Linked DNA regions of Daphnia pulex. The protein of the gene in region 2 purifies or fractionates together with the protein of the main gene of each other region. This does not show direct contact. Links are inferred from orthologs where the notes say so. Each region holds a gene or a part of one and is shown on either strand. Other genes may lie near its edges.

Region 1 (5,024 bases), on a different chromosome or scaffold from region 2:
TTAGTGACTCACCTTCCCACTTCCCCTCACCCTTCTCCGACTAAGCCTCCCCAGTTCTACCTCTCTTAGACTCTGAATCTAAGACCGCGATCTAACATTGAGATTGAGTCCAGTCGAGTCCAGTAACCATACTGATAGGTGGCCGCCACCTCACGTTGCACTTTGTTCTTATTAAGATGAAAAAATCAGGTGATCTTTTATCTGATCAAACAAAAAAGGTTTATCATGCAAATTATATTAATATACTCAAAATTATTCGTAAAATTTAACTAATCTATCAAAACTAAAATGAAATGAATATTGGAAATTCGTTTAAAAAAAAACAGTTGAACTTTATTCAAAAAAGACACATATTTTTTCAACACAAAATTGCTGTTTTCACTCGACAGACAGAAAACCGGCTTTCGTAAAATAATTTACAATCATAGACTGCTCGTCAGCAGCCAGGCCGGGTAGGAGCGGAGTCTTGTCGGTCCCACTCTGAGAAAAAGATTTGTATTTTATTTCAAGTGAATAAATCAAGAGAGTGAATGATTCGACTTACCAATATGAGATTGGCCTTCAATGACGTATAGTACAATGGTCTCAAACGTAGATTTTGGCAAATCTGAGATTTAAAGGAAAACAATTATTGGATAAAACTTTAAAAATAATAATTATAATAATCGTTTCACTGACTTGCTTTTCAGCAGGACTGAGCAGTTCTGAACCGGGACATAAAGTGAGATCGTCGCTCTTGGCGAGGAAATTAGCAACTGCCTCCTGCCATTCTGACTGTGAAAGTCGGGTATTAGCGGAGAGTACGGGCCCGAGTCGAGGCAGACTGCTTGAAACGCTGAGGACGCTGCTGTTGTTGTTGCTGCCGAAGGAGGTGACTTTTGCGTCTCGAAAGCTTGAAAGTAGCACTTCTTCCCTTGCGTTGCTGCGAAAAAAAAAAAAAAAACAAAAAAAACAAGTTACATACATAAGCCACGAATTTACTTAACAATTCTAAGAACTAAGAAATATAGTTGAGATTTCGTAATATAATGCAAAGCTATCACAGGTAACTGATGAGTTAAACTGCACATAGTATGTAAAAAAGGGGAAATAATAAAGCTTACTCTGACTTGTGTAGTGTCCCAGGGTTTTGTACAATCGGCCCCGGTCCACTGCTTCCCTACGTTAAAGTCTATTGTTCAATTTCCAGTCTTTTTTGGGTTCTAATTTAACTAGCTTGTAAGATACTTAAAATAAAGACACATAAGTAAAAAAATAAAATCGAATATTCAACCAATGGACACCACCAATAATGATTCATTTCAACGAAGTATTAACAGGTAAATAAACCAGTCGCACACTCTTACTATCGCTTGACGAAACTATGCAAGCAATAGTACAGACTGGGAAAATTGCTTACGGATTTCCGGCGCTGGCGCTCCAACCGGGCTTCTTTCTTTCTTTCACGGAAGTATCGCAGTCGTTCATATTCAGTACATTCCTCATGTCGAGTTAATCCATTCCTACGGTATTTGATTAGTTCTCGAATCCGCAATCGCAAAGCTCTCTCTTTAGTTAGATTGCGTAAGAATTGCTCATGCTCAGGTGCCGTGTGGAATTGGGAAAACGAACGAAATTTTTCTTGCGTTTCTCTGTACAAGGAAAAAAATGTAACTGTTTGTAATGAATCTATAGTTAACTAATTGAAACATGAATTACTTTTCCTTTTGGGACTCCCTTTTTTTTGCGGCAGTCGTAGGTTTTTCCTTCTCTTTCTTGATAGCGTTAAAAAATTGGGATACCAGTTGAAAATCCCGAGCAACCCGCTTCCTTCGGGCTCTTTCCCTCAGGCGGCGAGTATACATATCGACTTGAGCCAGTTTTAGAGCCAAATCAATATCCTCGTCGTCATGATTAATGGCAAGATGAGAAACAATTGCCTCAGCTTCATTGTCATGTTCCTACAAAAAATAAAAATAATGTTGAAGTTTTTAAGACAATTTGTTTCATGACAAATTAAGACCCACCCTTTCAAAATCATCTCTTTGAGGCATGTATCCAAGTTCTAATGTTTCTTCAGGTTGAATAGCTAAAGGTGGTAGTCGTGATGTGATGGATGGAGATAGAGGTGCATTATCTGGACAAGTGTGATCAATTGCTGCCAAGCGAGACTCTCCACTTGCGAGAAGTCCATTTGGAAGCCCTTGCCATGTTAGTTTACCTATTGTTCCTGTGACAAATCTATCACAGTACTGTTCTTTGCATTCTGTAAAAAAAACATAATTGGAGAGTAACTGATGATAAAATCCTGATAAAAATCAACAATTACTTTCTGAATCCCGTGTTTCTACATGTTTCGCAACATCTTCCCAATTTCCATAACCAAACTGTTCTATTGCATCAAGTAACTGATAGTCTTCCCTTGCAATCCAGCCACCTTCATCCTCCCTTTGTTGGTCAGGAAAAATACTAAAAGTACCAGGATCCTAGAAATTAAAAATAAAGTATTTATTGAGAGTTTGATAGAAAAACTTAAATACTCACTATTAATCTATATCCATGACTACTTTTATGTGGTCCAATTTCACAGCCAAGAGAGAAACACTAGAAAGAAACATTGCAAAACTGTGTTATTAAAATAATTCAAATTCGCCGCCGACCAACCGGCAATACCACTCCGGTGGGCGTCATAACAAACAACAAAGAAGGAAGGGGAGGGATTCATTCAACGAAGATTTTATACCACACCTGTAAACAAAGTTCGTAATCGACACAAACGTTACATCGGATTCGAATGCCAAGGATGTCGTCCTGACAGTAGCCACATCGATGCTTCATAAATAAATCTGAGGAATGGATACAGAAAGAAAGATTTTCAATTTTCGAAAATAAGGATTCAACGAGAGCATTTTTTTTTACCCGCCATCTTTAGCCTTCCCTTCCCATCAAGAACAACTAAGCTATGCCAACGCTAGCGAAAGCATTGGTCGCGCCCTCTGGTGACTGAGAAGTGAGAAGTCTTTAAAAAATAATTAAAATGACGTGTAAAATTTATAAACAATGTACACCGTACATTTTATTAAATTAAATTTTTTTTAATGTATAACGAGACGTGTTTGGTAAATAGAAATAATTCAACGTATTATATATCACCAATTGGCAACTAGTTCGTGTCGGCTTTTTCAGCTCCAATGCGGTAGTGGTCTGCAAAAAAAGTCACGCAAAATGGCTCTCAATCTGACTGTCAAGTTGCATCCTGTTGTATTATTTCAGATTATTGACTCTTATGAGCGTCGTAATCCTGATGCACAGAGAGTAATTGGAACGTTGCTTGGTAACATACAATTTAGATCATCCGTTTGCTTTCGCGTTTTATTGTTTTTTCGACTGTTGACACGTGTATCGGTATCGAGTACCTGACAAAATCTTTGGATTATATACCTAAATTCCTATAATATGCGAAATCGAAGTTGTGATAACTCATTTTTCATATTGATTTTTTCCAGGCACATCAGATAAAAATGGTGTGGAAGTGACCAATTGCTTTTGTGTGCCTCACAATGAATCAGAAGAAGAAGTGGCTGTGGAATTGGACTTTGCCAAGGATATGTATGACTTGCATCGTAAAGTTAATCCCCAAGAAAGCATTGTAGGTTGGTGGGCAACTGGTACTGGAGTCACATCTCACTCTGCTCTTATTCATGAGTACTACTCCAGAGAGTCCTCCAATCCTGTTCACATTACAGTGGACACCACATTGCAAGATACCCGTATGGGAATCAAAGCTTATGTCAGGTACATGCTATTAATTCAGTATGATACAATTGCTTTGAAAAATAATTATCTTTAAATTATCATCTAGTGTCCCAATGGGTATCACAGGCAAAACTATGGGATGCATGTTTGCTCCTGTTTCTGTTGAGATAGCATGCTATGACCCAGAAACTATTGGATGTAATTATAATAGAAAATGTGTATGTATACTGGGAATTAATCTTTGATTGTTTTTCAGTAAATGCCTGCCAGAAAACCAAAACCTCGGTTAAACGTCAAGCGGGCATCGCTTCGGATCTTACTCAGATTGTTGAAGCCTCGCAGCAGATGGAAAACATGCTGGACACTATCTTGGCTTATGTTGACGACGTAATGAGTGGCTCCAAAACGGCTGACAACACGTTTGGTCGTTCTCTATTAGATATGGTTCATTCGGTACCTAAAATGACACCCGACGAATTTGAAGAGATGCTTAATTCAAACCGAAAGGTAGAAAACATTACCCAATATTTACTTATTTAATCTAATTTTTGTAAAACTTTATTAATTTAGGATTTATTGATGGTATTATATCTATCACAACTTACCAAGACTCAACTGTCGCTGAACGAAAAACTCACATTGTTGACAATTTAATTCAGAACGTTGATATAAAAAATAAAAATGAACATCTCCCAATTAAATTACAATTTTCTGATGTAGTCCTCGTGAGCATATTTATTAGGAAACTATAGTATACAGTCACACGTACACAAGGGGGAAGAAAATTTCTTCGCTACCAAGGAAAAGAATCACACCCATCTTCTCTCAGAGAGCAAAAAAAATGATGATTAGGAAAAGCGAAAAACAGAATTTCAAGAAACGACCATCAGGAAGTTGGCCAGGTTTAGTAGCTATCGTTTACATGAGGAATGCTTAATTAAGCAGGCACATTGGTGGGTAAGATAGATTTATCCAGATCGGTAAACCAAGCATGATCTAAAGCATCCTGAGCCGTGATACGAAGGGCTGGATCGTAAATGAGAGTTTTTTGAAGCAGATCAAATCCAATCGAGTCAAGTTGCTTCACGGAATTTTGAAGGTGGTAAGTATTCCAATTAGGGAAAGTAGGTTTATAGTCGGGCATTTTTGAAACGCCTGGCCACATTTCCTCCGTGGGCGTCTTCATTACTCTGTGTTTCAAATAAAATAGGAACAAATGTAATTTTAAAAATAAAAAAAAAAGGACAAGTAACACTACCGGAAAATACGGTAAAGCTGATCAATTTCCG
Region 2 (3,522 bases):
ACTTCAGAAGCAGCTTTCATTTGTTGAATCATATGAGCAATCAAGTCATCGTTATCGTTAATGATGTCGACGTCTTTGCGCTTGCGCTTCCGTTTTTCATCCTTTTTGCGGGCCATCATCAGGTCAAAATCAGAAACAAATTCTGACCTGTTAATACAAACATCAATAATGAATTTAAAAAATGACAACGAAAATTTCACATGATTTTTTTTTTTTACCTTTGATCATCATCTGGATTATCTGATTCAGAATCTTGTCCCTTATCTGAATCATCCTGTTTTGGTTGTTTAGTTTCGTCTTTTTTTGGTGCTTCGTCACCAGATTCCCCAAAAACATCGTCCAAAACTTTTTTGTCTTTTTCGTTTCGACTACCCCCTTCTTCATCACTTGAATCTCCAGCTGGACGAGCAATACGTGATTTCGTCTTTTCTTTTTTCTTCGAGCTTCCAGGTCCGTCGGAGTCACTGCCACTTCGACTGTGTTTACGTTTACGAGTACCACCTCCCCTGCTTTTCACGCTGGACGCCGACGAAGATCTTGATCTAGATCTTGAGCCTTTAGACCTGGATCCTTTTTGGAAAACATTTGTACATTAACAAAACACGAATCGGATTACCCAAAACTACTATTACGTGATCGTGATTTTGAACGGCTTCGGGATCTCGAGCGAGAACCAGACCTTGAACGTGATTTAGAAGATCTGCGTGACGAACGCGATCTCGAACGAGACGAACGAGAACCAGATCTAGAACGTGACCTGGAGCCTATTTATTTTAACACCAGTTATTATTTGGAATATTATAATTGTTTTAATCTCATCAAAATTTTTAGCAACTAATACAGTACCTTTTCGAGAAACTGATTTAGAGTGACTTCTAGATCTTGAGCCTGAACGTGATTTAGAGCGAGACCGTGATTTTGACGAACGGCGTGACGAACGGCGTGACGAACGTGACCCTGATCGAGAACGAGACCCAGATTTTGATCTAGATGAAGAACGAGATCTTGATCTTGAATGTGATTTGGAAGCAGATGGTGATCGACTTCTAGAGCCTTTCTTCAAATGGGGAGACTGAGAGCCATCATCATCTTTTGCTTTGTCTGTGATTTTAATAGTAGATTGACATCGTATTATAAGAAATAAACATAACTTCACTCAACTTACCATAATCATTAGAAACATTGGAATTGTTGGCTTTATCTTCTATTTCTTTCTGTTCACTTGACACTGAATCATTTCCATCCTTCCCCAGACTTCCTTCCTTGGAATCTTCTGCATCGTCTTTGATGTTTGGCTCAGACATGTGCAAAGAGTCATCCATCCTCTAAAGGCTGTTTAGAATAGAAAAAGTACCATTGTTTCAACTTTATTCACAAATGTTGTGAATCTATATTGCTTAAATTATGATGAGATTAATAGAACATATCGTTTTAATTAGGAAATGTTGTGATGCCGGTAAAAAAGATGTTTGAACGTAATAAATAAATTCAATTTCTTTAACCAGAACACAGAATCATAATCTTCATTGGAATGTGCATGTCTTACCTAGTGTTGACTGATCGACGGTTAGGGATTAATTAAAATCTTAAAAAAAAGAGAAAGATTAAAACTTTTGGTTTTATTGTGTGCTCGTCTTCCAGCACACAAACAAATGAATAAAAATGCTCAAAGCTAACGCTAGATGGCTGAAGGATAAGTTGACAGCCCAACTTATTCTGTTAACAAAAGTGAAATGAGACAGCCTCGAAGGAATCTTTTGAATTCAAGTCAATAATAGTTGGTTTATTTGGTTTATTGGTATCTCAGTTTGATTTCAAATCTAACGACCATGTCTACAAAAATTCCCCGTGATGCTCTAGTAATTCAAGCTATCCTAAAAGATATGGGCATTACTGAATACGAGCCTAGGGTTATCAATCAACTGTTGGAATTCATATACCGTAAGCCTAGGAATAGTCAAATAGAACGATTATGAACGACTTTTCATTAACTGTTTTTAATCTTAGGATATGTGACTACTGTCCTAGATGACGCTAAGGCATATGCAAATCATGCTAAGAAAAAAGGGATTGATTTGGACGATGTCAAACTTGCTGTTTCAATGCAAATGGAACAATCTTTCACTTCTCCCCCACCACGTGAAGTATACAGAATTTACAATAGAAATAAGTTATTTGGCCATATTCTCATCTATTTCACATTTAGATTCTCATGGAAGTTGCAAGATCAAAAAATAGCACACCTCTACCTTCAGTGAAACCACACTGTGGCATTCGCCTGCCACCTGACTGTCATTGCCTTGCTGCTTGCAATTACAAGTTGAAAACTATCAAAAAGACATTACCAAAGGCTCTTGGTGGTGGATCGACTACTGGATCTAGAATTGGTATGCTGGGGGCGGCAAGAGCTGTGCACCGACCGAGTTCACCTGCAGTTCGGGTCACTACGATTAATGCGGGAACTCCCACAACTCCTCGACCTGTTGTGAAGATCAACACTGGTTCTGCAATTAATACTCCCGCCAATGTTCCAAAGATTCAGATCAATATTCCGGCTCAGCCCAATCAGCCAGCAGAGAAAATGGAAATTGATGTTCGAGGAGTGAAGCGTGAAAGAGAGGACGATGATTATGATGCTGCGTGAATTATTGGAATGGTTTCTTATTTCATTAAATTTCTTACAAGCTCGCGTTACGTTGCCTGAGTAATGATAAATTCTTGAATAAATCAATCGACTTAAGATTTTTTCTTCATGCTATCCAAGTATTTAAAAAATGAATTAACGTTGCTCGTGTAATATGGCTTCCAGATGTACATAGGAAAGATGTTCAACTCAATGTTTTATCACCTTAGCACACATGTTTGACACGAGAAAAGGAATCTTAAAGGGGGACAACGAGTGCTGAGGAACACAATGGAACGGCTGACGAGACAAAATCAGCTTGGTTTCTGAAAGTAAAATCATAGGGTTGAAAACTGCTATGCAGACTTGATCGTGTTGAACTTTGCAAATGGGGGGGGGGCGAATAGTTAAAATGTATGAGAAAAAAAAATGAAGGAATTCCATGTGCTCATCAAATGTTGCAGTATTAACTGCACGTGTAGAAAAACTATTCGCAGCCCGGTGGGACCAAGTCTTCATCGTCGTCACCACCTCCATCGTCCCATTTACTTCCAACTTTACGACGATCAGACTGGGACGACGATGCTGTCACAGCGGCAACTGGAGCGGGTACAGGACCAGGTTTCTCTTCACGTGCTGGACTACGTTGCTGTACATCTCTTTCTCCACTTTCTCGTTCGTTACGATGCTGATCCTGATCATTACGACCTTGAGGACTTGTATCTCTGGCATCCCGGTTATCTCTTGCATCTCGGTCACGACCGCGATAGTTGTCCTGGCGGCTACGGGAGCGGCTGCGAGATGGACTGCGGCTTACACTGCGACTGTAGCTGCGTGAGCGGCTGCGAGAACGGGATCGAGTGCGGCTACGGCTTCGACTACGCGAATACGATCGTTGC
Region 3 (4,832 bases), on a different chromosome or scaffold from region 2:
TATGATTCTGTATAATACCGGGTACGGGCGAAGTCCAAGGGGTAGACGAAGCAAAGAGAGGTAGCTCCTGCAGCACCACCAGATGCCAAGTTAGCGGCAAACCAGGCCCAGAACTGGGTCTTCTTGTCAACTCCCTTCATGAAGATGTTCTTGTAGACATCCTTGAAGGCAAAGTTGAGGGCCTGAGTGGGGAAGTAACGGATAACATTGGCAAGGTTACCACGCCAGAAGGCTGTCATGCCCTGTTCTTTGGGGATACGGACAAAGGCATCCACAATACCTGGAAAAAGAAACATAAATTATTGTAAAAACCCAGTTCACACAAGATATAGATACTAGGTGTTGACCCAATTATGAGTCTCATGTAAAACTCATATATGGTTACTTTCACAATCCAAAATCTTATCTTTTCAAGTCACACACATTCAATTCCAGAACTAGCAAAAACTGGTTTACATGATCAAAAGCCCATGAGGCGAACGAACATACTAGCTGAGCATACAAGAACAATGTAAAAATATCTTTTAAACTTTGCGAGAAAAACTTAAGGATTTTTTGTGATCCAACATGGCGCCGTGCCGGCGTGAGCCGGTTCGGAACCAACGGTAGAATATCTCTCCCGATTAAGTAACTAGAGAAGGGGGGGGGGAGGGGATTCAGCCATCTTACCCTTGTACTGCTTGTCGGCCGTGATCTGTTTGGAGGCATGTTGAACCTGAAGGAGCAGCTTAACTCGTTCAATTGGGGCGACGGCCGTCTTGGAAACGGCAGCCGAAACACCACCAGCGATAAAGTCCTTGGCAAAGGACAGAGGATCAGCGGTTTTACCAGACATTTTCAGTGGTTTTTTTCAACAAGCAGAAACGATGGGAGAGCCGGGCAGATTGTGCACGTGTTGAGACTTCGAGCACGAAAGGGAAGAGTACGAGTCTGGTCTCTGAGTTTCTACCTTCGGTCTTTTAACAATTCAGTGGTGCCCTCTAAGGTGCCTTGGTTACGGCCACAATTCAAAGGCCTGTCAACTCGATTGAGATTGCGCATTTAATCAAGTTTCCAGTCATGACCGCTAGGTCGGAATTGATCATAATTTACAATATCATTTCTTCACTTCTTGAACCTTAATTGACCATTTCTCTGCCTTAATAATAATGTGCTATTTTCAAGAGAATTTTACAAATGTAATTTTTCAGTTATTTGCAGTTTTTAATTAAAATTGAATGTAGTTTTGTGCAACGCCACCTGTGATCAATTCACTTCAGTTAGCTTATATGAAAGGCCTTCGCCAATCTACTGGGACTTCGATTTTTCTAAGGACCAATCCAAAAATCCGTTAGTAACGGATTTTACAAGTGCCTTAGGCATTTTCACGTGACGGGGATAGGAAAATGCCGCCCTTTTGGCGCCTTTTACTTTTTTTATGTTAGAAGATTATCAAATAGGGGGAGGAATCCCCATTGGGGTGTACTTCGACCCTAATGACCCTATATGAACCCGATTGATGTAATCAAGAATTATGTAATTATCTCATCTCATCGATATTGCGAAATGAATGAATTCCCGAAAATGCATAAAATGAATTCAGTTGTAAAGGGTAAAAAAATCTGGATGAAACCAAAAATGGAAAGTTTGATGGATAGTTGCCAACTCGACTGGGCCGTATAACCTACATATTTCTCTATGGAATGACGTCATCTGAATTCACACGGAATCTTGTCACGTAGTTTGGCCAGTTATTTCTCTTAATTATTTATGTAAACAATTCAATGATCTTTTCTGGAATTATTTAGTCATTTAACAATTCTTAAATAAAATAATCAAGTTGAAATTGAGTTGAAACTAAACCTGGCAACGCTGTTCATATTTACCATCAAGACAATTTTCGGCTTCCCGTCAGCCTGTTTGTGTTGATTTGATGACCGAAAAAAAGTAAAACTAAATTTGTGTTTGTTATGATTGCGTGATTCTTCTAAAGCTAGGATTTTAAAACATCCAAAATGCCAAGCAGTGATGAAGAAAACGAAAATCACAGTAGTGATGATGATGGAGATTTGAGTAATAGCCCCGATAATAATGATGACGATTCGCAATCATCTCAAGAAGACGGAGGTGGAGGAGGTAGAAGAACATCAGGATTAAACCTTACTGGGTTCCTCTTTGGTAATATTGACAAAGAGGGTAAACTTGAAGCAGATATCCTTGATGAGGAATCTAAACGTCAGCTGGGCACCCTTGGACGATTTGGCTTGATGTCAATACTTCAAAATGTCATTAGAGAAGACGATTCTGTAAGCAAAGATCAAAGTACAGATTCTGAAGATGATGGAGCAAAATCTCCAACTGCTGAAGACTATTCTGACATCAACGAACTGGCAGAAGACGAAGGAGGACCATATCTTGATGACTCAATCCTCATGCCACCACCACCTACACCAACATCCAAGAGCCTTTCGGCAAGTGAGGCAAAGAAACGATTGGAAACGCCTTTGGCAGCCATGCTTCCTTCCAAATACGCTAACATAGATGTGAGAGAGCTATTCCCAGACTTTCGGCCTGACAAAGTCTTGTGCTTTTCCAGACTCTTTGGGCCTGGAAAACCCAGTAGTCTTCCTCAAATCTGGAGAGGTGTAAAGAAGAAGAGAAAGAAGAAGAAATCTCCAGATTCAGAAGACTATGTTGAAGAGGAAATTGAACATGTAGAAATCACTTTCAAATTCGGCCCACCTCCTCCTCCGGAAAAATGCAGACCAGATGACGAAGAACGTTTCTTAAAGCCTCTAGAAGATCCTAATGCTCTCAATAATATCAAGAACTCTGATGATGACAAAGGACCCAATGTAGCGGATTGGAGGTTTGGGCCGGCTCAGCTTTGGTATGACATCCTTGGAGTTCCAGAATCAGGTATAACAATTAATTAATTATTTATTTGAACTTGATTAACGTTTCCTTGCTTTTTATAGGAGAAGAGTTTGATTACGGTTTCAAAGTGAAACGGAAAGATCCTAATAATGTTGACGAAGATGGCAAAGACCTGCCCGGGTTCAAATTTCCAGACGAGGCCTTTCACATGATCACGCAGTTAAATTGGGAAGACGACGTGGTCTGGAATGGCGACGATATCAAGCACAAAGTAATGCAAAAATTGAATGCAAAAGGTGGCTTAGCCTCAGGATGGCTCCCGACGGCTACCAATCGCTTGGCTACACAGAAAGCCACCCCTGCTGCCACTCCAGCCACCGGTAAAGCAGCAACTCCTGGAGCTAAAGGTGGCGCAAAATCGGCTGCAAACAAACCCGGAGGAGCGGCCGCAGCAGCCGCTGCCGCCGCCGCTGCGGCTGCTGCTGCTGCAGCCGTCGAAGAGGCAGCCGACGACGTTTGGCATTCGATTTTCCCAGTCGAAAACGACGAGTTGGTGTTTGGCCAGTGGGAAGATGACATCATCTGGGACAGCGAAAACATGAAGGAGATGCCCAAACCCAAGATATTGACACTAGACACTAACGATGAAAACGTCATTTTGACCATTCCTGATGACATTGATCCTGCCACAAAACAAGCATACGTTCAACAGCCTGTCAAAGTCAAGATTCCTCATCCTCACGTCCGAAAATCCAAGTTACTCTTGGGAAAAGCCGGTGTCATTAACGTATTGGAAGACGATTCACCTCCTCCACCGTCGGAAAATAACGATAAAGATCCTTACAATATCTCCAATGACGAATATTATGCAGCCAAAGCGACCGAGGCGGCTATCAAAGGTAAATTAATCCATCACAACTAAATTTTAAAAACTTAATTAATTGGAATTTATGGAATATTACAGTCAGCACGGGTGGAAATATCATTCAACATTCAACGCCCGTGGTGGAACTCCAGGCACCTTTCATTCCCACGCACCTGTCGATAATGAAACTGCGCAGTTTCCATCGACCACCGCTCAAACGCTACTCCCATGGACCGTTATCGACACCTGGCCCTCATCCTGTCCACCCGCTCCTACGCCACATCAGAAAAATGGCCAAACAGCGTGAACTCGAGCGAATGGCTGCCGGTGGTGGTGATATCTTTTTCATGCGAACACCGGATGATCTCAGCGGTAAAGATGGTGATCTCATTCTCCTGGAATACTGCGAAGAACACCCGCCGTTAATCAGTCAAGTGGGCATGTCCTCCAGGCTGAAAAATTATTACAAACGGAAGTGAGTTTTCATTTTTAAAACGGAATTTGATCGAGAGACTTAAATTTAATTTATTTCACAGGGCTGTCAAAGACACAGGGCCGCCTCAATACAAATACGGTGAAACAGCTTACGCTCACACCTCACCGTTTTTGGGTACCCTCCATCCGGGCCAGTCCATCCAGGCTATTGAAAACAACATGTACCGTGCACCAATCTACGAACATCAATTGCCGTCGACGGATTTCCTAGTAATTCGAACGCGGACAACGTACCATGTCCGTGAAGTCGATGCATTCTACACTGTCGGTCAGGAATGTCCACTGTACGAAGTGCCCGGTCCGAATTCTAAAAGAGCCAACAACTTTACCCGCGATTTCCTACAAGTATTCAACTAAAGTCATTCTAATAGTCTTCTATGAAACATCCAAACAAAATGTTTATTTTAATTCAGGTCTTTATCTACCGACTGTTTTGGAAGAGCCCCGACACTCCACGTCGTATCCGCATGGATGACATTAAACGAGCTTTCCCAGCACATTCCGAAAGCAGTATCCGCAAACGGTTGAAACTATGCGCGGACTTTAAGCGAACAGGAGTCGACTCCAATTGGTATTTCGTAGTATAATAATTCATACTCCAACGGATGTCCAAATT

What was found.
Region 1: the proteins of transcription initiation factor TFIID subunit 9-like (region 2) and transcriptional adapter 2-beta-like purify together in Drosophila melanogaster (affinity purification with western blotting; 4 studies listed by BioGRID, with this or other methods). This does not show direct contact. The link is inferred for Daphnia pulex from reciprocal best matches to the Drosophila melanogaster genes Taf9 and Ada2b.
Region 3: the proteins of transcription initiation factor TFIID subunit 9-like (region 2) and transcription initiation factor TFIID subunit 1-like purify together in Drosophila melanogaster (affinity purification with western blotting; 3 studies listed by BioGRID, with this or other methods). This does not show direct contact. The link is inferred for Daphnia pulex from reciprocal best matches to the Drosophila melanogaster genes Taf9 and Taf1.

The regions. Positions count from the first base shown.
Region 1 is NC_060026.1:11,480,217-11,485,240, reverse strand, and holds transcriptional adapter 2-beta-like, read right to left. Parts: upstream 2,980-5,024; 5' UTR 2,906-2,979; coding exon 2,899-2,905; intron 2,826-2,898; coding exon 2,728-2,825; intron 2,584-2,727; coding exon 2,524-2,583; intron 2,466-2,523; coding exon 2,309-2,465; intron 2,246-2,308; coding exon 2,007-2,245; intron 1,941-2,006; coding exon 1,699-1,940; intron 1,632-1,698; coding exon 1,400-1,631; intron 1,160-1,399; coding exon 1,104-1,159; intron 923-1,103; coding exon 679-922; intron 608-678; coding exon 545-607; intron 481-544; coding exon 379-480; 3' UTR 317-378; downstream 1-316. Other genes in the region: eukaryotic translation initiation factor 3 subunit F-like, read left to right, coding at 3,205-3,313, 3,486-3,774, 3,842-3,933, 3,992-4,242, 4,306-4,389; cyclin-dependent kinase 1-like, read right to left, coding at 4,673-4,925, 4,994-5,024. UniProt on the Drosophila melanogaster protein: Component of several Gcn5-containing histone acetyltransferase complexes that regulate nucleosome organization; involved in acetylation of histone H3, particularly on Lys-10 (H3K9ac) and Lys-15 (H3K14ac).
Region 2 is NC_060027.1:3,088,669-3,092,190, reverse strand, and holds transcription initiation factor TFIID subunit 9-like, read left to right. Parts: upstream 1-1,700; 5' UTR 1,701-1,829; coding exon 1,830-1,941; intron 1,942-2,007; coding exon 2,008-2,144; intron 2,145-2,206; coding exon 2,207-2,644; 3' UTR 2,645-2,740; downstream 2,741-3,522. Other genes in the region: protein IWS1 homolog, read right to left, coding at 3-147, 219-570, 633-764, 847-1,101, 1,166-1,322; G patch domain-containing protein 8-like, read right to left, coding at 3,111-3,522. UniProt on the Drosophila melanogaster protein: TFIID is a multimeric protein complex that plays a central role in mediating promoter responses to various activators and repressors.
Region 3 is NC_060026.1:11,817,125-11,821,956, reverse strand, and holds the start of transcription initiation factor TFIID subunit 1-like, read left to right. Parts: upstream 1-1,853; 5' UTR 1,854-1,994; coding exon 1,995-2,898; intron 2,899-2,957; coding exon 2,958-3,755; intron 3,756-3,820; coding exon 3,821-4,196; intron 4,197-4,257; coding exon 4,258-4,561; intron 4,562-4,629; coding exon 4,630-4,787; intron 4,788-4,832. Other genes in the region: ADP,ATP carrier protein 1-like, read right to left, coding at 19-280, 670-835. UniProt on the Drosophila melanogaster protein: TFIID is a multimeric protein complex that plays a central role in mediating promoter responses to various activators and repressors. Largest component and core scaffold of the complex.